Schizosaccharomyces pombe: one gene and its partners. The protein of the gene in region 1 interacts with the protein of each later gene in a biochemical or structural test. Each region holds a gene or a part of one and is shown in the gene's direction. Other genes may lie near its edges.

Region 1 (7,365 bases):
TGTTTTTAAAAACCGCATATTGGCAAAAAATTTCTAAATCGATAGGTAGATCCTTCGAAAATCCCAATTGATCGACTAGTAAGCGAGGCCGAATAATATGGCGATGAATGCACAATTCATTCAATGTTTATGAATGAGCACTTTGAAAATGGATATTCCATGAAAGATAGATAATAGAAAATCGGTATTAAATGTATTTGATTTTGTAGTCTTTCATCTATCTGTCTAATAATGGTTTGCAACATCGATGTTTATGATATTACAAATTGTTTTTAGGAACTTTTTTCTTATAGTTGATATAAAACTAATATAATAGGGTCGAAAGCGATTCATTTTAACTCATCGATTAATTCAAATTTTGATGTGTTAGTCTAATCCTGGATTTATTTACATGGGCAAAGATTTTTATCAAGGACAAATAGTATTTCAATGCCCAATTCATTTGGTTCCAGATTTTTTGAAAAACTTTTTTTTAAATGTTTTTATTTTCTTTCACATATACTCTGTTACCGATTCGATTTAAAATATTATTGAGCAAAAGCAGTATGCAAGGGTATTGGAATAATATTGACAAAAGCAAGGTATGAAACTTTAAAAAAAACAAATTAGATTTTATTTTATTTTTTTAAGTATAAGAGTTTACGTCTCGTTCTTTTACAGCAGCACCCCATTTTCGAATCGTATGTGTAACGAAATTTTTGAATTTAATTGTAAACATTACTTAAAATCAACACTGTTTTAAGATATTTTTTTGCTTTTTAAAAATAAGCAACAAGTTAAATAGAGACCGCTTTTATTGGAAACAGCAAGCATACACTTACCAAAACTCAACTCCTATTCTTATAACAGTTTTAGAGAGACATAATACTCGTTAGCATAATACACAGTCAAACAATAAAATAATAAATTGGTAATTGTTTAGTTACATTGTCTAGACAGAAAGAAGCAAGATGTGGGGAATTTCCGAGTTTTTACCTTGAGCTTTAACGAACAATTTTTAGCCCTTTAAAAATCGATACTTTAGTCGGTTGCATTCTCTACGTCGTTTTACTAATATAATCAACTCTCGTGCTGTGTTCGTTTTTTCAACTTTTGGTTGCTTCATAAAAACCATATTATTTATTTCAAACAAAGTAATATAACCTCGTCTGTACTAGCTGAATCCGATAAATGCCTTCAAACTTCATTCTTATATTTATTTCATACAATGATAATTTTGCTAACCCACACCCCTTCACTTACCCAGTCCCAGACACATCAAAATTTGCTCAAAATGGGTAAAGGTAAGTTCAATAAGATATTTTTAGGTTCTAATAAATCTTTAGTTTCTTTAAAAGATGAATTGGCAGGGATGCTAAACCCTCAACCGCAGGGTATGTTATTAACGAAAAATTCCGGGATTCTTACTCACATAAATAGAAAGAGACCCTGAAGCTTTAGAGGACGCATTCTCTGATAGAGAGGACTCTAGCGAAGAAGAAAACGATACCTTAGGGAGAGAACATTATGTTGATGTTAGGTATGTTCAAAATTTTTACTTTTGCGTATTTGAGCTTATACTAATGTTTCATATTTTATAGTGAAAGTAAATTACGCTCAAAACAGGCTCCTCAGTTAGACCCAAAATTTAAAGGAAGAAAAACGTCTCGCCAGGAATTACTTAATAGCGGTTCTTTAAACTCTCAATCTTCATCACCATCTGAAGAAGAAGATTCGGAGGAAGACGAAAATGATGCAGTTTCAGAAGATCACGAAAATTTTTCAAGCTCAGAAGCTTCATCAATTTCTGAGGAAAATGAAGATGACGACCAATCTTCTGCCATTCCTGAAAAAGACATGGATCGTTTAAAAAAGATTATAAATGGAGAGAAAAAGCTATCTGATCAAATTCGTACATCCGCCCTTGAAGACATGAAAAAGGGTTTAGCTTTGAAGGAGCAGATGCGTTTTTACGATAATGTTTTAGATACTAGAATCCGTCTTCAAAAAGGATGTAGTCAACTTCTTTCTTCCAGCAACCAACTTCAAGGTGATAAAGTAGAAGCCCGAGATGGTTTAGTATCTTTTATTCAACACACTTTACAGCTGAGGAAAAACTTACTTATTGACTCTGGAGTGGAAATTCTTGACAGTAGATCAAAAAGAAAAGAGAATCCTGTTAGTCTAGAAGAAATTGCTTTAGAAATGAATAACCTTGACGACTCTTTGAATGAGTGGAAAAATGATACTTTAACCAAATGGCATAATCGGGTTCAAGCAGTGCAAGGGATTTCGCAATCTAACAAATTCAAGGCTCTAAATCAAAGTATTGTTCAACAAATCGAAAATTCTATGATTAACAAGAAAGATTTGGTCGAGCGCACTAGAATTGATTACAGTGACCCTAACAACAAAACTTTCAATCCCGAAATTTACAACGACACGGATTTTTATCAATCATTATTGAAGGATTTCATTAATTCTAGAATGGCAGACTCTACTCGAGATGGCACTGTTCGTTGGATGGCTACAAAAAAGCAAAAACAGAAGAAAGAAAACGTTGATACTAAGGCATCCAAAGGTCGAAAAATAAGGTATCACGTTCATGATAAATTACAAAATTTTATGGCTCCCATTGAAGTGACTGTATGGCCGGATGAACAAACTGAAGATTTGTTTAGTAGTCTGTTGGGTCAACAATTAGATTTATCAGAGACAGCTAATGATACAAATACTTCAAACTTCGTGGAGAAGGATGATGAACTGATCTCTTCCAACGACGGATTTTCTCTCTTCGGTTGAAAATAAGCTTGTGCGTGTTGGATAAGCTTCACTATTTGTCTTTTTTTTAATATACGCAAGCTGTGCTAAACATTTAGGGTGCATGATTATTTTTACTTACAGTATATCTTTTTTCGGTTTTAAAAAGGGCATTCGCGGATTTTGGTTCTATTATAATATATTTCGTTTACAATTATTTAGGTTAATAAAAAAATTTAACATATATATGGTTACATAGATGGTCACAATGTCGGGCAATTACAAGTAATAAAGGGTTATCTTGGGCTGAAGGTTTTAGTTTTTGTGCACTTTAGTATTTTAAGCATAAAAGTATGTACGTTTATATGATGTACAGTTGAACTCTTTCTGCTGCAAATTAAAAGCAGCTATAAGTTTCTTCTTATTACAATTCATTGTGTATATACAGATTATTTTGCGATTGATGTTGGCCATTACACTTTCGTACAAATTTCGGCGCGCGTGTCTATACTAATATAAGTGCGTTAAAGCAGGTGCTAGAAAACACCACATTATAGATTTACCTCTGTATATACCAGTTTCAATTCTGTTTGTCAAAAATTGTCGAGATTTATTTACTTCTATTAGCATGAATTAAGAAATTAATCGTCATATCGACTAGAAACTATCGTTATTCGTTCAGCATTCGTCTACATCAATTCACGTACTGGTATATAAAATGGAATTCACTGTTTCAAATGTTAATCTTCGGGACCTCGCAAGGATCTTTACAAATCTTTCTAGAATCGATGATGCTGTCAACTGGGAAATTAACAAAAATCAGGTGTGTTGGAACTTTTTTCAAACCTTACTAAACATTGAAACTAATTGGTAAAGATAGAGATTACATGTTTAAATTCTTCTAGGTCAGGATTTAGCATGGTGACTTTAAAAAAGGCATTTTTTGACAAGTACATTTTTCAGCCGGATTCCGTCCTGTTGACGGGATTGATGACTCCTACAATACGTATTCGTACGCAAGTCAAGCCCATACTATCTGTGTTTAGAAACAAAATCTTTGATTTCATCCCGACTGTCGTCACTACCAATAGCAAGAACGGTTATGGCAGTGAATCTGCAAGCAGAAAAGATGTGATTGTCGAGAATGTTCAAATCTCAATCTCTACTGGTAGCGAGTGTAGGATTATATTTAAATTCTTATGCAAGCACGGTACGTAGTTTGTCCGTCTTATTATTTTATTTGCTCTACTAACGTTTATTCATCAAGGAGTGATTAAAACATATAAAATATCATATGAACAAACCCAAACTTTACACGCTGTTTTTGATAAATCTCTTAGTCACAATAATTTTCAAATAAACTCAAAAATTCTAAAAGATTTGACTGAACATTTTGGTCAGAGAACGGAAGAGCTTACAATTCAACCACTTCAAGAACGTGTTTTACTTACAAGTTTCACAGAAGAGGTCGTACATAATAGAGATATTTTGAAGCAACCTACCCAAACAACTGTTTCCATTGATGGTAAAGAATTTGAACGCGTCGCACTTAATGAGGGAGTCTCTGTTACCCTTTCTCTACGTGAATTTCGTGCTGCCGTCATTTTAGCAGAGGCATTGGGAAGCTCGATTTGTGCATATTACGGTGTCCCAGGAAAACCGATACTTTTAACTTTTGCAAAAGGGAAAAATTCCGAAATTGAAGCGCAGTTCATTCTTGCAACTGTAGTTGGATCAGATGAACAAGAGGTGTCATCTATGATGGGAAATAGATGGCAGCACAGTTCAACACCAGCTTCTCTGTTCAATTCAGTAGAGCGCAACAACTCATTGACTGCTGTAGCACATAATCCCCCTGGATCTATTGGATGGCAAACTGATGTATGTAATTCGGCTTTAGTACTAAGTACAATAATTTATTAACATTAACTTTATAGCAAAGTGACTCATCCAGAATGTTTAATTCTGCGCTTGACCGAAGCGACGAAACTAATGGCATTAAGGAGCCATCAACCACAAACGATGCTGGTCAATCATTGTTCTTAGATGGTATTCCTAATGAATCCGAGCTTGCTGCTTTTAATAATGATGTGAACGATGATGCCGAATTTGGACCAACGCAAGCTGAACAAAGTTATCATGGCATTTTCTCTCAGGAAGACTAGGAAAATCCTTCTTTGCTATGGTGTGTAAAATTATGAACATTTACAGGTGCTTGTGACAACCTCATAAAACACAGCACTCATATTATATAATGTACAATATTTATCAATAATTTAGTTTTTTTTAACTACAAAATTACCCTCATCATACGATACGTTACATAGTAGTTCTAATAAATCAATAAGATAGTGAATAATGTAACCCAATTAATTAAATTCCAATCCACGGCCTATAAAAAGTCTAATATACATTTTTGCATTTTCATCTGAATGCAAAATTTAAGTCATTACACGAACTCAAAGAAAGTTTTAAACTTGTTTCTTAATCAATTCGTTAATTTCTTCTCCACAATAGCCAGCCTTTCGACCCTCATTAAAATGTTTGACCTTTTTCTCCATCAAACTGTGTTTAACTGGAGTCAAAGTGAATGGCCATAAGAATTTAGTAACTTCCTTAAAATGAGAGCCTACATTGTAAATTTCATGAATGATATCTTCAATGGAAATAACATCATATTTGCCCAAGGCCTCCTCAATTAATGCATTATCAGAGAGAGCAATACGCTGACCATTGATCTTACCAAAGCCACGTTTATAAATGAGTTCACGAACAGAATGTAAATTGGGAATACCATACATAACATAAGGTTCGACGATTCGAAGCATTTGAGCAACGGCTTTATTATTTCGCACAAAAACGGCATTGTTAATTCGAGAAAGGCGTAATAAGCGCAGAACTTTGCGAATTTTAGGAGGCATATTCTTGACTCCGGCAATTCGAATAACGAAAAGAAGTTTTGTTTCATCAGGCACGAAAATGTCTCCTTTATTTTTCGCAGATCGATTTAACCTAATCCGTTCTCTTTCTCGTTGGCGGTAGTTATTAATAAAAGTCTCAGCCCTTTTGAAGGTTTCTTTACGATTTTTCTTCTGGGCCTGGAGTAAAATTAGTAAAATGTTTTTAACAATATATAAAAATTGATGAAGTCAAAGGTTTAAATTTAACCAATACAAAATATATGAATCAGCCGAAAGATGGTATTTTGGAGCAGCATCGTCGAAACTAGCAATCCAAGAGTGAAAGGTTCATCTTTTTCATATAAATATGTATATTATGGATATTTCAAACCTGTAGAACAAGCAATTCACATACCTCTTTTTTGGCAATAGCCTGCTCAACACGTTCTTTCCGAGTACGCTCATTGACCTTGCGCTTTTTTAAAAGCACCTCAGGTTCAAGCATAGTCTGTTGTACAACCGGTGCATCCTCCGCCATTTTATCGTCTGTTAGTAACGAGTAGAGGGCACGTTGGGACTATAGACAGACGAAAAATTATAGCTATGAAATGTGACTGCTTTAAGACACATAATGTTCTTCGTTACAATCCGCTAATAAGCGCAAAAAAATTTTGAAGCGATTTTCAAATAGGCTTTGAAATGTGTACTTAAAGGTAAAAAATGGTGTTTAAAAACTATGGCAAATTTAATTTGACAATATAACAAAAATTGCACAATAGTAGATTGCTCCTTCCATATCGAAGCATCTCTTTCTAATAACCAAGACCAAACTTTATCTAATTGACCTTGTACCATTGAAATTCATGTTTAAAAGATATACAAACGATTTTAATAGGAATATTATCAATGTTGAATGTAATCACCTGGTGCTCAAACTCCTCAGGGACGTGGGATATGGAGATGATAAATTTTGCACAACATTAATCGAAACAGTGCGAAAACACATGAGAAGTTGAATAATTGTATTATTAGCCCTTAACTTCTTAGGGTAGCCGTTTAAATGTCATTCATCCTAAACTGAAAAAAAAAATGTGACATTGATGAAATATAGTTTTCCACACGCAATTTATGTAAAATAATCATATACATTTATAAAAATCAGAAAGCAATTATTAAAAGGAAACAATTGATAAACACAAATTTACATATACTGTAAGAAAATGCATGAAAGCCCTTGCAATTCAAAATGAAATTACAAGGTTATTCTATCAATACGACTGTACGACTTACAAACTCAAGAGACTACAATATTTACCACGCTCTTAAACAGCCACCAATGTTATATGCAAATAGGAATTTTAGTGAAACTACTTAAAATTTTTTAAGTGAACTAGCTTCCACTTCTGCTACTGGATACAATACTGTTTGCGAATGTACATAAAAAGCTTAAGTTACCCAAATTCAAACAAAATATTTATACTCCAGTTCTGCCTGATCCATTAACTACAGACATTTTACTTCTTCTTAGCCTCGGCCTCTTCAGCACGCTTCTTTTGGAAAGCAGCGCGAGCACCGGCATAACGAGCATAAGCACGCTCGTTGCTAAGGGTAGAGAAAGCGTTGAAGTTCTTGGCTTCTTCAGTAATGGGCTTGGCCTCCTCAACAGCTTCTTGAGTGATGGGAAGAACAGCGGCAACATCAGTTTGCTCAGCACCAGAGACATCAG
Region 2 (7,229 bases), on another chromosome or scaffold:
GTATGACTCATTAATGTTTTTTAATTCATTTTAATATTATTCATGTTATGTGTTGGTTGTATTTGTCTGTCTTGTGTAAATTTTGGTTGTATTCGTGGGTTTTAAAAACCTGCTGTTTACTTAATTTTGAATTATCGAAATTTCTTCCATTTTTTAGTGTTATAGGGACAGCTTGTTTGTCGGACAGGATACTCAATGGGTTTAACAAGCTACGTTCATTTCTATTTTGTCACTATTATGGCTGTAATGTGAAATATCATAGTTGATTGTGCCGTGGATAAAAGAAAAAATCCTAGTGTTCTTTGCTCTGTCTTCTCCACGGGTATTAACAATGCACATGCTGTATGTCGTTTAACGTTTAGATGCATTTCATATTTGTTCACCTTATCGTTATCTCTGTTGTATCTATTAAGTTCCCACACTGGGGCACTAAAATGGTGCGGAAGGATCCTATAATCGTAGGAGTCGTTGGTGTTTCTCTGCAATATCCGAGGATCTTATCTTATAAAAGGAGGTATACGGCACATTGCAAAAGAAAGTCAATTATCAAAATTGTATTGTAATTTTGTTTCCAGACAATTTTACCCTTGTTTATTTTGTTACGGTAAGTATTAAAAAATATGATGTCGGGAATGAAGAAACGATGAGAGCGATTAAGTGACATACAAACGATTTATTAGATTGGAATTGAAATTTACGTTCGTTTGGCGTAAATTCTATGATCGTGCTACCAAATATGTAGAAATAGACTTTGGTATTAAAGGAGGATTGACAATAAGCGAGTCGAGCAGTAAGTAATTATATTCTTGGGCAAAAATTTTTTTGTCATAAGACATGCACTGCCGATTTCATTTTTCTTAGGCAAAGTAGAAAAGCTCCGCAGCAATCTTAGAAAGAAAGGCAGTTTGTAAATAGAATCAAACAATCGTTACCACCGATGAGACCAAGTATTTTTGGCTTGGACGAGCTTTACTGTTTTTGAAGACCAAATATTCTAAGCCTAATAAAAACGCCTTGCTATGTGAGGGATAAATCTTTTTTTTCTTGTTACAAGTCTTGCCTTGAATTGTCTATTCTATTTATCGACGGTAATTTTAGCGCTTCGGAACCAAGAAAAGTGATGTAGTTTTTTCTGCACAAAACGGTAATATATTTTTGCGTGGTTTTATTCTAAACATCGAAAAGCTCCGGTTTCTTTAACTATCTCATCTTCCACTGAGTGATAAAGTCACCAACATTAGCACATTCGGGGGATTTTGAAATGTTTTCTCTCAACTGTCAAGCTACAAGATGTGTTTCTTCTTGTTTTACATTTAATATTTTTTATCTTAAAAAAGCAGCAGAATTCATAGCATCAATCAATATCTAACTAGTTGCTTCTGTTTTTGTTTTAAGGAGAGCTCGTTTATACTCCCTAAAATCACCTTGGATATGGGATTTCGAGTCGGTTACGACATTGGGGTTTATCATTTGTTGTTGTTACTTTAAAATAAGTTGTTTATGATACTTATGTTACGTGAAGAAACTATGCTTACTCCATCAGACGCTTATATATCCTGGGCACACACACATAGTGCTTTCACCAACCTTCTACTTACACCAACTACCTACTTAACCATCTTCATTGGCAGCTTAGACCTATTACATCTTTTCGTCGTTTAGTGTCTTTACGTTTTTCGTTTGTTGCTTGGAAAATATCATTACGTTTAAGTGTGTAATCGTGTGCTTTTCAGCGTTGTTGGACAAATTATCATCTGTTCCATCCCGTTTCCCATCGTTCTCATTTCCACAGCGTGGAAAACGACATCTACATTTCTTTGACTATTAAAATTTAAAATTAACGTTAGGTTTTTTAAGATTAATTAAGGAGTCTGTTGAATTACTCTATCGATCGTTATCGGCTGTTTGTTTGTTCGTATCGATACTTTTTCTAACTAACTGACTCATCGTTCGTAATTCCATCTTCCTACGGTTTTTGTACCATTATTTAATTAGTTGGCAAATTCTTCCTTCACCTTTCCCACTATCGTATCACATTTGCTCTATTCAGCTTCATTATTGCTCTGGCTAGTTTAGCTGTATTGATTTTCAGCGTTATTTTTCTTTTGTAAAAATGCAAGTCACCATTCCTAAATCTACTTCTAAGGAAGACGATAAAAATCGGAATTTGCTTCCAAAAAATGTTAAACCCATCCACTATGATTTGAGTTTATATCCAGATTTGGAGACGTTCACTTACGGCGGTAAAGTCGTCGTTACCTTGGATGTACTTGAGGACAGCAACAGTATTACTCTACATGGCATTAACCTTCGTATTTTGACGGCTGCGTTAGAATGGGGCAGCCAAACCGTCTGGGCCAGCGAAGTCTCTTATGGGGATGAGCGTATCGTTCTTCAATTTCCCTCCACTGTCCCAGCCAACTCTGTTGCTGTTTTGACGTTGCCTTTCACTGCCCGTATTTCCAGTGGCATGGAGGGTTTCTACCGCTCTAGTTACGTTGACAGCGATGGTAATACCAAGTATCTTGCCACGACCCAGATGGAGCCTACTAGTGCTCGTCGTGCTTTCCCCTGCTGGGATGAACCTGCTTTGAAAGCTACCTTTACCATCGATATCACTGCTAAGGAAAACTATACTATCCTTAGTAACATGAATGCCGTTGAGGAAACTGTCAAGGATGGTTTGAAAACTGCCCGTTTTGCCGAAACTTGCCGAATGTCCACTTACCTTTTGGCTTGGATTGTTGCCGAACTCGAATACGTTGAGTATTTCACCCCTGGCAAGCATTGCCCCCGTCTTCCTGTTCGTGTTTATACTACACCTGGGTTTTCCGAACAGGGTAAATTTGCTGCGGAATTAGGTGCTAAGACCTTAGACTTCTTCTCTGGTGTATTTGGCGAGCCATATCCTTTACCCAAATGCGATATGGTTGCTATTCCTGATTTTGAAGCAGGTGCTATGGAAAATTGGGGTTTAGTTACCTACAGACTTGCTGCCATCTTGGTTTCTGAGGATTCCGCTGCTACTGTAATTGAACGTGTAGCCGAAGTTGTACAACACGAATTAGCCCATCAGTGGTTTGGTAATCTTGTTACCATGCAATTTTGGGACGGCTTATGGCTTAATGAGGGTTTCGCTACCTGGATGTCATGGTTTAGCTGTAACCATTTTTACCCTGAATGGAAGGTTTGGGAATCTTATGTTACAGACAACCTTCAATCTGCTCTTTCGTTGGATGCACTTCGTTCCAGTCATCCTATTGAAGTTCCCATTATGCACGATTACGAAATTAACCAAATATTTGACGCTATCTCTTACTCTAAAGGTTCTTGTGTTATCCGCATGGTTAGCAAGTATGTTGGCGAAGATACGTTTATTAAGGGTATTCAAAAATACATTTCTAAGCACCGTTATGGTAACACAGTTACGGAAGACTTATGGGCTGCCTTGTCGGCAGAATCAGGTCAGGACATCTCTTCCACTATGCACAATTGGACTAAGAAGACAGGTTATCCCGTGCTATCCGTTTCTGAAACCAATGATGGAGAGCTTTTAATTGAGCAACATCGATTTTTGTCAACAGGAGACGTTAAACCCGAAGAAGATACTGTAATTTATTGGGCCCCCTTAAAACTTAAAACGATGAAGGATGGTAAAGCAGTTGTTGATGAAAAAGCTGTGCTTTCAGACCGATCCAAGAAAATTAAAGTTGATAAAGAGGCTCTCGAATCTTATAAGCTAAACTCTGAACAATCTGGTATCTACCGTGTTAACTATTCTGCCGATCATTTAAAGAAGTTATCTCAAATTGCGGTTGAAAAGCCAGATTATCTTAGTGTCGAGGATCGTGCTGGTTTAATTGCCGACGTCGCTTCTCTCTCGAGAGCTGGCTACGGTAAAGTTAGCAGCACTTTAGATCTTATCAAAACTTGGAAAGACGAGCCTAACTTTGTAGTCTTTGCTGAGATGCTTGCCCGCTTGAATGGTATAAAGTCCACTTTACGTTTCGAAAGTTCTGATATCATTGCTGCAATGAAAAAGTTAGTTCTGGAGGTTTCTGCTACTAAAGCCCATTCACTCGGCTGGGAATTCAAGGCAAATGACGATCATATCATTCGCCAATTTAAGAGTACAGTATACAATTATGCCGGTTTGTTTGGTGATGATAAGGTGGTTAAGGATGCACTTTCCAAGTTTGATGCTTACGCGTCTGGTAATAAGTCCGCCATTAATGATAATTTGAGATCCGCCGTATTTAACATTGCAATTCGTTATGGTGGTGCTAAGTCGTGGGATCAACTTCTTGAAATTTATACTAAAACTAATGATCCTTATGTCCGTAATAGTTGTTTGAGAGCCTTTGGTGTTACTGAAGATGAAAAGTATATTCAAAAAACTTTGGATTTAACCCTTGACCCTATTGTCAAGGAACAAGATATTTATCTTATTTTGGTTACATTGAGTACTCACAAAAACGGTGTTTTGGCAATGTGGAAGTTTGCTACTTCTAACTGGGATAAGTTGCTTTCAAGACTTCCTGTTGCTGGTACAATGCGTGGCTACGTTGTGAGATTCGTAACAAGTGGATTCACTCATGCCTCCGCTATTGATAAAATTAAGGAATTTTTTGCCGATAAAGATACGAAGTTGTATGAACGTGCACTTCAACAATCTTTGGACACTATTTCTGCTAATTCAAGTTTCATCGACAAATCACTGGATGATATCACTCGCTGGCTTAAGGAGAATCGTTATATGTAAGTCTTTGCATATTTAGAAACGGTATGTGGTGAATGCTTAAATTGTGGCATTTGAAACTGTCAAGTTGATCACCATGTTTTTATGAACGATGACTACTGCAAGTTATGTATATACTGATGGACGACGCCTTTACTTAGATTGCATACATCTATGAAATTTTGATTTTTGAAACTGACGTAAAATACATTTAAAGTTTTATAAATTTATGTTATAACAGTATGTTGTTTACTCCACACTGGCACTTTACTATTTTCAGTATACACCGACATCAACTAAAGGTGTGCAAAACGAAGGTGAATTACTGAATATTAACTGGAACTAATGTAACTTTAATTTCAATCATATAATAAAACGCTAATATAATAAATTTCTCGTATCGTCGGCCCTTACGCCAATCGCCTAAATTAATAGGACATAAGAGTAAGGTTCTTTATCAACGAGTTTTGATCTCGAGGTCGCAAAGTCTAAAAAGACTCTGGCAGTAGCATACGTACTAATTCACATAACCACCGTGGCTGACCCCTTAACTTTTTGATTAAAGAATAATGTAGCAAGCGCACTTGTTTATATAGTAAATTACATTTTTTAATAGGGTAGGGTTGTGACTACCTTAACGACTCGGAGCTGGTACTGTCATATCGCTGGTTTGAAATAACGAAATTTAAGGAGAAATTTAGCCGATTTCAAGGAATATTTTGATTGTATCTACATTTACTTGAAAAGACTTAATGTGTTTGTTGCAGATAGATGAGCATCGATTATACTTATATTTTTAGTGACTCAAAAAATCTCTAGCTGGTTTAAAAATGCATAAATTAAAAAAAATTAGAACGTAGAAAGAACTATGTTAACAATAGATGGCGGTTAAAACAAATTGAGAAAAGATTATAAAGAACGAAGCATTAGTAGATATGAAACATGTGTAAACGTTACGTTACGCACGGATCAAATAAATGAAACATAAACGAAGAATAATGCATATGCAAAGAATAACGATAGAGGAGAAACGATTAAACGTCCAAAGAAGGTAAAGGAATTGTTGCCTGAAGACACGAAAGTCGTTCAGTTTCTATCAAGGCACTGCAATTGGCACGATGTTCATACATTTTTTTAAACCAATTGCTTACCGTCGACAAGAGAGGGATGCTTTTAAGCTTATGGACGGCAATGGCGTCAATGCGTAAATAGCTTTGACGATAATTAAAACCTTCGTTGGGTAAAATCAAATCATACAATGTGCATTTAGAGAATTCCGCATTTTTTACATTACCGGAAAGGTAAATGCTATAGCCGGTCTGAGCATCTTCAAACGGAATAATAATATTACGGCGTTTAGCCACCTCATAAGCCATATCAGGAGATACTATATAGAAGAACCCGCACATGTACGGGAAGTCACGAACAGCGGTAGGTAATTCTCTTCGTGTGCAATCCCTTCCAAAATAAAAGCGGCTTTTCCCAACGTGCTCTTTCAACATTTCAAACAGACGGGGTAAATTCAAGAAAGAATCGTCATCGGCTTTAACAATAAAATCGTAGTCATGCTTTGGCTCGCCGAGATCTTGGAATTCCTTCATACCAGGCAACTCATATGTCTTAATACTTTGATTATATATAAAACTACCATGAAACTGAGTGCTGGGCATTATAAGATTATCTGCAAGTTCAGAAAAAAGAGGAAACGGCTGGTAGCCCTCTAAAAATGTTTGGAAGTATACAATGGACTTTCCAGCATCCACATTCTCCGGAATAGGTAGTACTGCTAAGTCACCATACGTTCGCTGCTCTTCGCGAATGGTAGCTAATTCCTGCTCATTCTCAGGTAAACCAAGGATAAATCTAACATCCACAGTATCATTTACGGCAAACTCCTTAATATATTCATTATAGTCGGTACGTAAAAAGTTACGCCTATCCACGTTCTTAGCTTGACTAAAAATCCCCAAATACAGTTTGAAAGGTCTGTCGTTCGCATGGGCAAGCGATTCATTTTGCTTAATGAAGGGATCTAAAAACAAATTCTCTACGTAGGCGAGTGAATGTTCTTCGGCCTGTAGACGATTTAGTACAAGAAAAGCAAAGGAAAAAGTAGCAACACCGGCAATTAGCACGTAAAGAAAAATTTTTTTTTTAGAATTTGAAAACATAGTGAAAGAGTTTAATTAAACGAGCACGTTGCGCCAGGAGGTCAATTAGAGAGACGTGAATATTAATTGTCCCTTTGAATAAAAGAATAAAATAAAACCAAACTTAAAGATCGTTGAGAATTAAACAAAAGACTCCTTGAATATATGAGCCAGCAAACAGAATATAACTCTGAAAGGAGTATAATGTTTGGTTCTGAAAACAAAGCTGTGCTTGGTGCCATATTCACGTCCACCATAAATACGCAGTCATAATGTAACCAGAAGAGCAGCTACTCAAACCCTTAATGCCCTCATAGCGTTGGTAACTATAAATGCGTTAA
Region 3 (8,193 bases), 660 kb from region 1:
ATGTGATTGCTTTCGAGCTTCAACGTATATATAACCGACCAGCGAGTCACGTTGAAATGCTGAAATGATTTCTAATGGAGAGCTAGTATATTGCAAATCCATAGCTTTCCGCATTATGGTAAAAACAATATCCTTTTCTTTGCCAATTTTACAGCGAACAGCCCAAATATTGGGATCATTCACTGAAGGAAGTAGAAGACGTTGGGGAACATTGCTTGTATCTCCAACAACAGTTTGGCTACGACCATACTTTTCACGATACTCCTCAGCAAGGCGTTCAGCATCAACAGATTGTAGTTCCTGTCTTTGACGGTCAAGTTCACGATGGCGACGATCATCACCGACGTAATCCGCTCCAACTTCTTCTTCAATGAAACCATCTTCACGACCAATTTCATCTTCCTCATCTTCAAGCTCTTCCTCGTCCTCATCTACTTCTGCTTCAATATCAAGGAATTGGTTGCGGCGGTCATGGCGAGCCCTTTTTCTTCTACCGCCACCTGATTCATCTTCATCTTCCTCGTCTTCCTCATCATCTTCTTCATCCTCTTCTTCCTCTTCGTTTGCATCAGCTTCTTCCTCGTTTTCTTCAACATTATCCTCATCTTCTTTTTTGTCATTGTTATTTACATTATCGACTTCGTTTTCATTCCCATCTTCGCCTTTATTAATTGTGGTATCATTTGGACTTTCGTTATGGGAATCCACGGGAGAACTCTGTTTTTCATTTGTAGTAATTTTAGCAGCTTCAGAATCATCATTCAGCAAGTCACTTCCATTGGGGGATGCACGGGTAGAATTGATTTTAACTGAAGCAGCATCTTGCTCAGCTGCATCTACCTCAGTCGAATTTGCATCTTTATCAATAGATTTCGGAGAATTCGTATCCATTGTGACTTAAAAAAGAGGAAATAGTACCTATTCCCTCAATGCTTTGTTTTTAGACCTTTAATCTAATATAGGCGATAGGTTCGCCGATTAATGAACTTTTTATTCAACAAGTGGTGTTTTGTTAAAGGTGACTTACAGTACGTACTGCTGCCCTATTTTACCAAGCAAGTAGGTCTTGTATGGCTTGCAGCGACAAGAGTATAGATATACGAAAGAAGCAATTTAGAATGGAATACTTACGGTTTTTTTGTAAAATCAAACTTTTGCTTTAAAAGTATTTGCTTTAATGGTAAGCTTGAGCAATTGCCACTGCTGGTAAACAAACTTGTATACACGAAATGCCATACACAATCTTAAAGTTAGACTTGGTTTAATTGAAATTAAAGATAATGGGATGCTCAGATTATCAATAAATTCATCTTACATTTAAATTGTAATATTATGTTATATTCCATATAACTATGAACCCTTTAGGGCAATATCCCTTTGCGTTACTAAAATCCAATATAAATATTAAACTGGATAAGAGGATATTTTTTACCGAGAGAATATAGGACAAAGGTGGTGTCCATATACTATCTTCTTACTCAATAAATCTTATAATTATGATACAGGTTAAATGAGGAATAATATAATAGCCAGCTCTTGGTGCTTGTTCATAATTTCCCCCAAACCAATGATGCTACTCAGCTATACAGCATCGTGTACATTGCCAATACAGTCGAGTTTTTCGAATAAATGCTTAAAATTTAATTTTGGCCTTTTATGACTCTCCATTTGTCAATCTTCGCACCCACCACGGTAGCATATAACAACTTGGTTTTAGCTTCAATCTACTCTTAACCTTCGAAAGTCGATTTTCTCTAAACATTCTTTATTTTCCCTTTTAAACATTACCAATTTTTGCATTTCCTCACAATAATATGTAGTGGTGATGGACGCGTTTGTACTCGTAAATTACCTATACCTACTCACCTAGAACTCATAAATGTCGGTAGTGAAAGAATGGGTTCTTCTAAACCACTCAAAGGCTTCGTGATATGTTGTACCAGTATCGATTTAAAGCAAAGGGTAAGATTTTTGCACGACGAATCGCATTTTTTGTTATTTGTGTTACTAACTTGACAGACCGAGATATCTACAAAAGCAACTAAACTTGGTGCTGCCTATAGATCAGACTTTACTAAGGATGTCACGCATCTTATAGCCGGCGATTTTGATACTCCAAAATACAAGGTATGTCGTAAAATCTTACAAATTACACTATCCTTCAAGAGTAAATGCTGACATTCTTTTCAATAGTTTGCCGCAAAATCCAGACCAGACATAAAGATTATGTCTAGTGAATGGATACCTGTTCTTTATGAAAGCTGGGTACAGGGAGAAGATCTGGATGATGGCCTGCTCGTCGATAAACACTTTCTACCAACTCTATTTAAATGCCGGGTTTGTCTTACCAACATTGGCCAACCAGAGAGATCTCGTATTGAAAATTATGTGCTTAAGCATGGTGGTACATTTTGCCCTGACTTAACTAGAGACGTAACTCATTTAATAGCTGGCACCTCATCGGGTCGCAAATATGAATATGCATTAAAGTGGAAAATCAACGTAGTTTGCGTTGAATGGTTATGGCAAAGTATACAAAGGAATGCTGTCCTTGAGCCGCAGTATTTCCAATTGGATATGCCAGCCGAAAAAATTGGACTTGGCGCGTATGTTCGTCTAGATCCCAATACTACGGAGGCAAAGTCTTATTCTGAAAACCAAAAAATAAGCAAGAATAAAGAAAAGTCTGGTCAATCCTTGGCTGCATTGGCGGAGGAAGCGGATTTAGAACCCGTGATTATGAAACGGGGAAAGAAGAGAGATAGAAGTATTTTATGGGAAGAACTTAATAATGGAAAATTTGAATTTTCCAGCCGTTCTGAAGAAAATTCAGTACTACTGGATGATTTCACTCCCGAAACTGTTCAACCCTTAGAAGAAAACGAATTAGATACGGAACTCAACATCGAAAACGAAGCTAAACTTTTTAAAAATTTGACTTTTTATCTTTACGAGTTTCCAAACACTAAGGTCTCCAGGCTTCATAAATGTTTGAGCGATAATGGAGGCCAGATTTCTGAATTTTTGTCTTCTACCATTGATTTTGTCGTTATACCTCATTATTTCCCTGTCGATGAATTGCCCATCTTCTCATTTCCTACAGTTAATGAGTGGTGGATAGAAAGGTGTCTTTATTACAAAAAAATCTTTGGAATCGATGAACATGCCTTAGCAAAACCTTTTTTTCGTCCATCTCTGGTTCCTTATTTTAATGGTCTTAGCATTCATCTTACTGGATTTAAGGGGGAAGAACTTTCGCATTTGAAGAAGGCTCTCACCATCTTGGGAGCAGTTGTGCATGAATTTCTTGGGGTCCAACGAAGTATTTTGTTGGTAAACACAAATGAACCTTTCAGTATGAAAACTAGATTTAAAATACAACATGCTACAGAATGGAACGTTAGAGTCGTCGGAGTAGCTTGGTTATGGAACATCATTCAAAGCGGAAAATTCATTGATCAAGTTTCTCCATGGGCTATCGATAAGAAAGAAAATCAAGAAATAAAAAAATTTACAAACCAAAATAATATGGTATTTCCAACGTCTGATAGAGATACACGATTACAAAATTCTCTTGCTCAGCAGCCAATAGGACATTCTACGCCTCATAATTCTCCTTCCTTATTATCGGTTAAAAAGCGCCAAAACAACCATATTAGGTCTAATACATTGATTCAACTAAATTCTAATTCAAAAGATTCAACCATATTTCCTCGGAGATCCGTGACAGTACCGGGCGACAAGATTGATACTGTTTGGAAGTCATCAGTTACAAAACCAGAAACTCCGACATCTCCACAAGAGCATGTTTCATATATAGATCCAGACGCTCAACGTGAGAAACATAAGCTTTATGCTCAGTTGACTTCTAATGTAGATGCTATCCCGCCTGCTAATGATCTCCAAAATCAAGAAAATGGGCTTCTATTAATTACCGAGAGTCATCGAAAACTCCGTAGGCGTTGAAACATTGTTTATTTATATGTATAGTTTATGTCAAGTTTAATTATTTTTACACGTCCATTCCAAATAATTCCAACGAAAGATTTCTTAAAGTTAGTAACAAAAAACATTAAACGTGACTTACTGCTTCTCTTTTCTAGCAAGCATTAAATTACAGCTCGTAGGGCTTCGCCAGATAGGCTGTAATATTAACATATCCATGAGTGCACCATCTTTTGTTTGAGCATCCACTCTAAGGATGTTACATCCTAGAGGCATTTTTTCAAATTCCTTTTTTAACATTCCGCTCTCAGAAAACTGCTCAACATGTGGGTACTCGTTTTTAACCAAAATTTTTAAATCTTTTAACCCAGCATCGTAAAAATGCTTCTCGTTTAAGAAAGGGCTAATGATATTGACACCGTTACTATGAATACGAAAATTGCAAATATCTTTGTTAGCTTTTAGCGAGAAATCTTTCAACAGTTGACTGATTTCCTGCTTTACAAAGAATCTAACACCGCCGTGCACGAATTTCACACGATTCGTGTTGGCTTCAATAATTTCTTTGAACAAAGAACATGCAAAATAAATTGATCTAACGGGAATACCGCTTTGATTTCTAACAAAAAATTGATCACGGGGAAAACTAGGATCGATACCATAAAAATCACTATGGGTTAGTTTGCCTGCCATGGTAATATAACTTACACAATAGTTTTGATGCTAGTATCATCAGGATTAATGTATACGAAGGGCTCTTCATCAAAATAACTGTTGCCAGATTTAGTTAATGTAGAATTAGAAGCTTCGTCAACACCCTTTTCCGTCCTTTGTCTCTTGTTCTCGGGTGGTAGAATTTCCATACTAGCAGTATACTTTTTGGGATCAAACGAACGGGAATTAATAGGATCAGTTTTTTGGAGTACGGCCACAAAAAAACCACCAGTATTCTGCATATGGGGATATAGTCTGGCACTATTAAGAGATTAGAAAATGATAAAGTTTCAAAGTTCTCATCCAGGCAAATAAACCTACCATCTTTCTATGTGGAGTTTGCTCATTTCCTCCTCAGGAAGAGGCCACATGGATTCGGTTAACTCGATCTTATCATTGGTGTTCTCAGCAGGTGATTGAAATTCGTTAAGAGAATCATCCAAAACCTTCCAAGATAAAAGACCGGGATCACGCTTAAGTAGGGGTAGTTTTTTAGACACATCAACAAGAGAAACTGCACCACCAGTAGCCTTCAATGCAGCTGTTACAACAGCTTCATTTTCTATGGGATTAATGGAGCATGTTGAGTAAACCAAACAACCACCCACTTTTAAAAGTTGCAATCCTCTGATCAAAATTCTCAATTGCAAAGGGTGAAGGCTAAAGGCGCTATTGGCACTCCATTCCCTCCAAAGAGACAAATTTTTGCGGAAAGTGCCATCTCCTGAACAAGGCACGTCGGCTAAAATACGGTCAAACTTTAAAATTTTTTTTTCTTCAATTACATTTAAGCCGTCAGAAGGAGATGAACCTTTGACATAGATATTGGGCATTGTCGATGCATCGTGATTAACAACCAAAATATTCGGGGAATTTAAACGATTGATTTGGTGAACAAGCATTTGGGCTCGTTTGGGATCAGCGTCATTAGCAATTACAAGACCTTCAACACTCTTGAGATTTTTGCTGTCATGAGCAGCATCCTTGATATTGGCTTTTTTATAAACAGCTTCAATAAGCTGCGCAGTCTTAGATCCCGGAGCAGCACACATATCCAGAATTACATGATGTGGCTCAACGTCTAAGAATAGAGGAGGAAGCATGCTAACCGCTTCTTGACGATTAATGTTTCCAGCTTCATTTTCACTTACAAGAAACCGCTGAAGTCGTTTAAGAGGCGGGCTCTTTCGAATAACATCTTTTTGCGCATCGACAATATATGCAAGACCATCTGGGTACCAAGGCAGCACTGTTGGAGGTGGAATAGTTTGACCCTCATGGACGACATTTTTAAGGCTTGGTACGTAGTATTTTTCAAAATGGTTTTTTAGTTCAAAAGCATGGTGACGATATCCACAAATACGAAATGTAGTTGGTAAGGGCTTTCTCATATATTCCATAAAGCTATCAAACTCATCATTTGGCTTTCCTCGAAATAAATTTTGCTTTTTATAGTAACCTTCGAATTGTTTATTTCTGCATGTTAGCTGACTATTTCCTACAATAATGATCTTTTCAATGTATTTCTTAAAAATATCCCAATAAAGCTTTAAACCCCGTAAAAAAGCACCTTTGTACACTTACTCTAAGACAATTTCACTTTTGTCATTGTAAGCCCTTTTGCCCTGAGTCACCTATCTTTGTTAAAAAAAAAAAAGAAGGCCGATTAACAAAGTATCATACCTTTTTATTTCTTTTCCCCATTACAAACAATAATTTACTCACAAACCAGAGTTCAGTGTTTACTAGACATAAAAATTCAACTTCAATAGTGTTAAGCAAACTTTGCAATGCAATGTGTCTTTATTTTTTATTTACGAGACCTAGCACTTCTTTGAAAAAATGTTTATCGCTAAAATAACGATAAAGATCATGCTAACTAAGGTTCTGACGCTGAACAAAACTGCTGATTTGCATTTGTATTTGGAAGGTCTTGGTGACTTTAAAAACAGAAAATTCAGATTGGACATCTAAATTCTTCCAACTGACTTTAAAAATGTTTACGTTGATATCGTTATCAGTATGCGTATGTAGGAGAATATATCCATATATGACTTTATTCTTTTAGGGAAACAACAAGAGCTGCGCATACTGCTAATATAGTTAAATTTCAAGCGTTCATTATTGCCATTAAATAGGTTACCGCTAAGCATGGGAATAAAAAGCACCTAATGTGCTACTATAAAGCGAAGGATGATTAATTCATACCTTGTCCTCCATAGCAAAACATGTTACATTTGCAAAGTCTTTTCTGAGAAGGAACATTGCCGTATTTAGGAACAATATAAATAAATCTTACAATCATAGCATTATTATAGTCTAAGGCTCCGGTATCGTTATGAAGAACATGTCACAAAACCTGTATGCCATACATTCATCCTAAATTCACAAATTACAGTGTCCATTACCTAGATATTATATCAAATAGCGACATTATCAGCATACAACACCACGCTATGATGCGTAACTTACTGCAGTGTAATGTATTAATTATTGCTTACCAAAGGCGTTAAGTAACTTAAAACATCTATTTATGAGCAACATAAACGAGTTAAGCATGTACATGAGCTGATAAAGCATAATCATTGAATTATCCCATTGTATTTATTAGAATTGAGGATTAGATTCGCATAACGTTTTTCGGTTGCTCTTTTAAACAAAAGGAAAGCAAACTATTCATGCAATGTCTCAATTGCTATTCTTGAGGCGCTTTTTCTTCCTTTTTTGTTTCATCATTAGGATTAGTTGTACAGGAGTATTTGAAAGTGTTATCAAATCTTCGGAAAATGTGCCTGATAAGGTTAATGTCAAATTACAGCATGTATTTCATTACGGACTCAATGAGGACAGTATATCATATTATCGACTAGATGTGGCCAAGAAAAGTGTTTACGCAGAGAGTGAATCAAAATTGCCGTTGAAAATGAAGAAAGGATATTCCGTTCACTTGAAGGATCAGTCTCGCGATGCGTTGACTGATTATAGATATAAGTCTATGAAAGGAATTTATTCTGAAGCGAATTCACCAGCTGATTTATGGGAACAGGAAGCAATCGTGATTCCTGATATTACTGATAAAGAAACGATTTACTCCCTTGGAAAGATGAGCTACAATGCTTACCAAAAAATTCCTTTCGACGGGGACTGGTTAGATTTAGGACCTGATTGGAATATAACTCCACCTGAAGGATTTGGTTGGGAGGAAGATGGTCTACGTGGACATGTTTTTTCCAATGATGACAATTCCACTATAATTATTGCGATGAAAGGTACGTCCATCTTCGGAATCGGACGCGGTACCTCGCAGAAGGATCGCGTTAATGACAATTTACTTTTTTCCTGTTGTTGCGCTCGTGTCAGCTGGGCTTGGTCTACGGTTTGTGGTTGCTATAAAAATACATACACCTGTAGTCAAACTTGCCTTGAGGATGAAGTGCAAGATGACTCAAGGTATTATTCTGCATCATTGGATATTTTTTATAGTGTTAAAGAATTATACCCTGATGCACAGATTTGGCTGACTGGACACTCATT

The links. The genes of interacting proteins can lie anywhere in the genome.
Region 2: the proteins of rad9 (region 1) and ape2 form a complex in vitro, tested with the Schizosaccharomyces pombe proteins (one study listed by BioGRID).
Region 3: the proteins of rad9 (region 1) and rad4 form a complex in vitro, tested with the Schizosaccharomyces pombe proteins (2 studies listed by BioGRID).

The regions. Positions count from the first base shown.
Region 1 is NC_003424.3:1,711,629-1,718,993, reverse strand, and holds rad9 (checkpoint clamp complex protein Rad9), read left to right. Parts: upstream 1-3,277; 5' UTR 3,278-3,457; coding exon 3,458-3,562; exon of another isoform or gene 3,563-3,615; coding exon 3,616-3,949; exon of another isoform or gene 3,950-4,006; coding exon 4,007-4,620; exon of another isoform or gene 4,621-4,676; coding exon 4,677-4,904; 3' UTR 4,905-5,074; downstream 5,075-7,365. Other genes in the region: bfr2 (traub family ribosome biogenesis protein), read left to right, coding at 1,274-1,283, 1,326-1,373, 1,420-1,519, 1,581-2,781; ribosome biogenesis protein rlp7, read right to left, coding at 5,211-5,837, 6,055-6,177; rpl13 (60S ribosomal protein eL13), read right to left, coding at 7,154-7,365. UniProt on the Schizosaccharomyces pombe protein: Acts in DNA repair and mutagenesis. Involved in promoting resistance to ionizing radiation and UV light, as well as regulating cell cycle progression after irradiation. Repressor of entry into mitosis that is activated by chromosome breaks.
Region 2 is NC_003423.3:2,411,394-2,418,622, forward strand, and holds ape2 (aminopeptidase Ape2), read left to right. Parts: upstream 1-1,584; 5' UTR 1,585-2,113; coding exon 2,114-4,762; 3' UTR 4,763-5,148; downstream 5,149-7,229. Other genes in the region: SPOM_SPBC1921.04C (uncharacterized protein), read right to left, coding at 1-11; pvg3 (galactosylxylosylprotein 3-beta-galactosyltransferase Pvg1), read right to left, coding at 5,773-6,909.
Region 3 is NC_003424.3:1,056,565-1,064,757, reverse strand, and holds rad4 (BRCT domain protein Rad4), read left to right. Parts: upstream 1-1,845; 5' UTR 1,846-1,896; coding exon 1,897-1,962; intron 1,963-2,019; coding exon 2,020-2,127; intron 2,128-2,193; coding exon 2,194-3,966; 3' UTR 3,967-4,012; coding exon of another isoform or gene 4,013-4,049; 3' UTR 4,050-4,087; coding exon of another isoform or gene 4,088-4,615; 3' UTR 4,616-4,653; coding exon of another isoform or gene 4,654-4,920; 3' UTR 4,921-4,980; downstream 4,981-8,193. Other genes in the region: DSIF transcription elongation factor complex subunit Spt5, read right to left, coding at 1-891; trm402 (tRNA (cytosine-5-)-methyltransferase), read right to left, coding at 4,013-4,049, 4,088-4,615, 4,654-4,920, 4,981-6,135, 6,244-6,293, 6,343-6,363; autophagy-associated lipase Atg15, read left to right, coding at 7,343-8,193. UniProt on the Schizosaccharomyces pombe protein: Essential component for DNA replication and also the checkpoint control system which couples S and M phases. May directly or indirectly interact with chromatin proteins to form the complex required for the initiation and/or progression of DNA synthesis.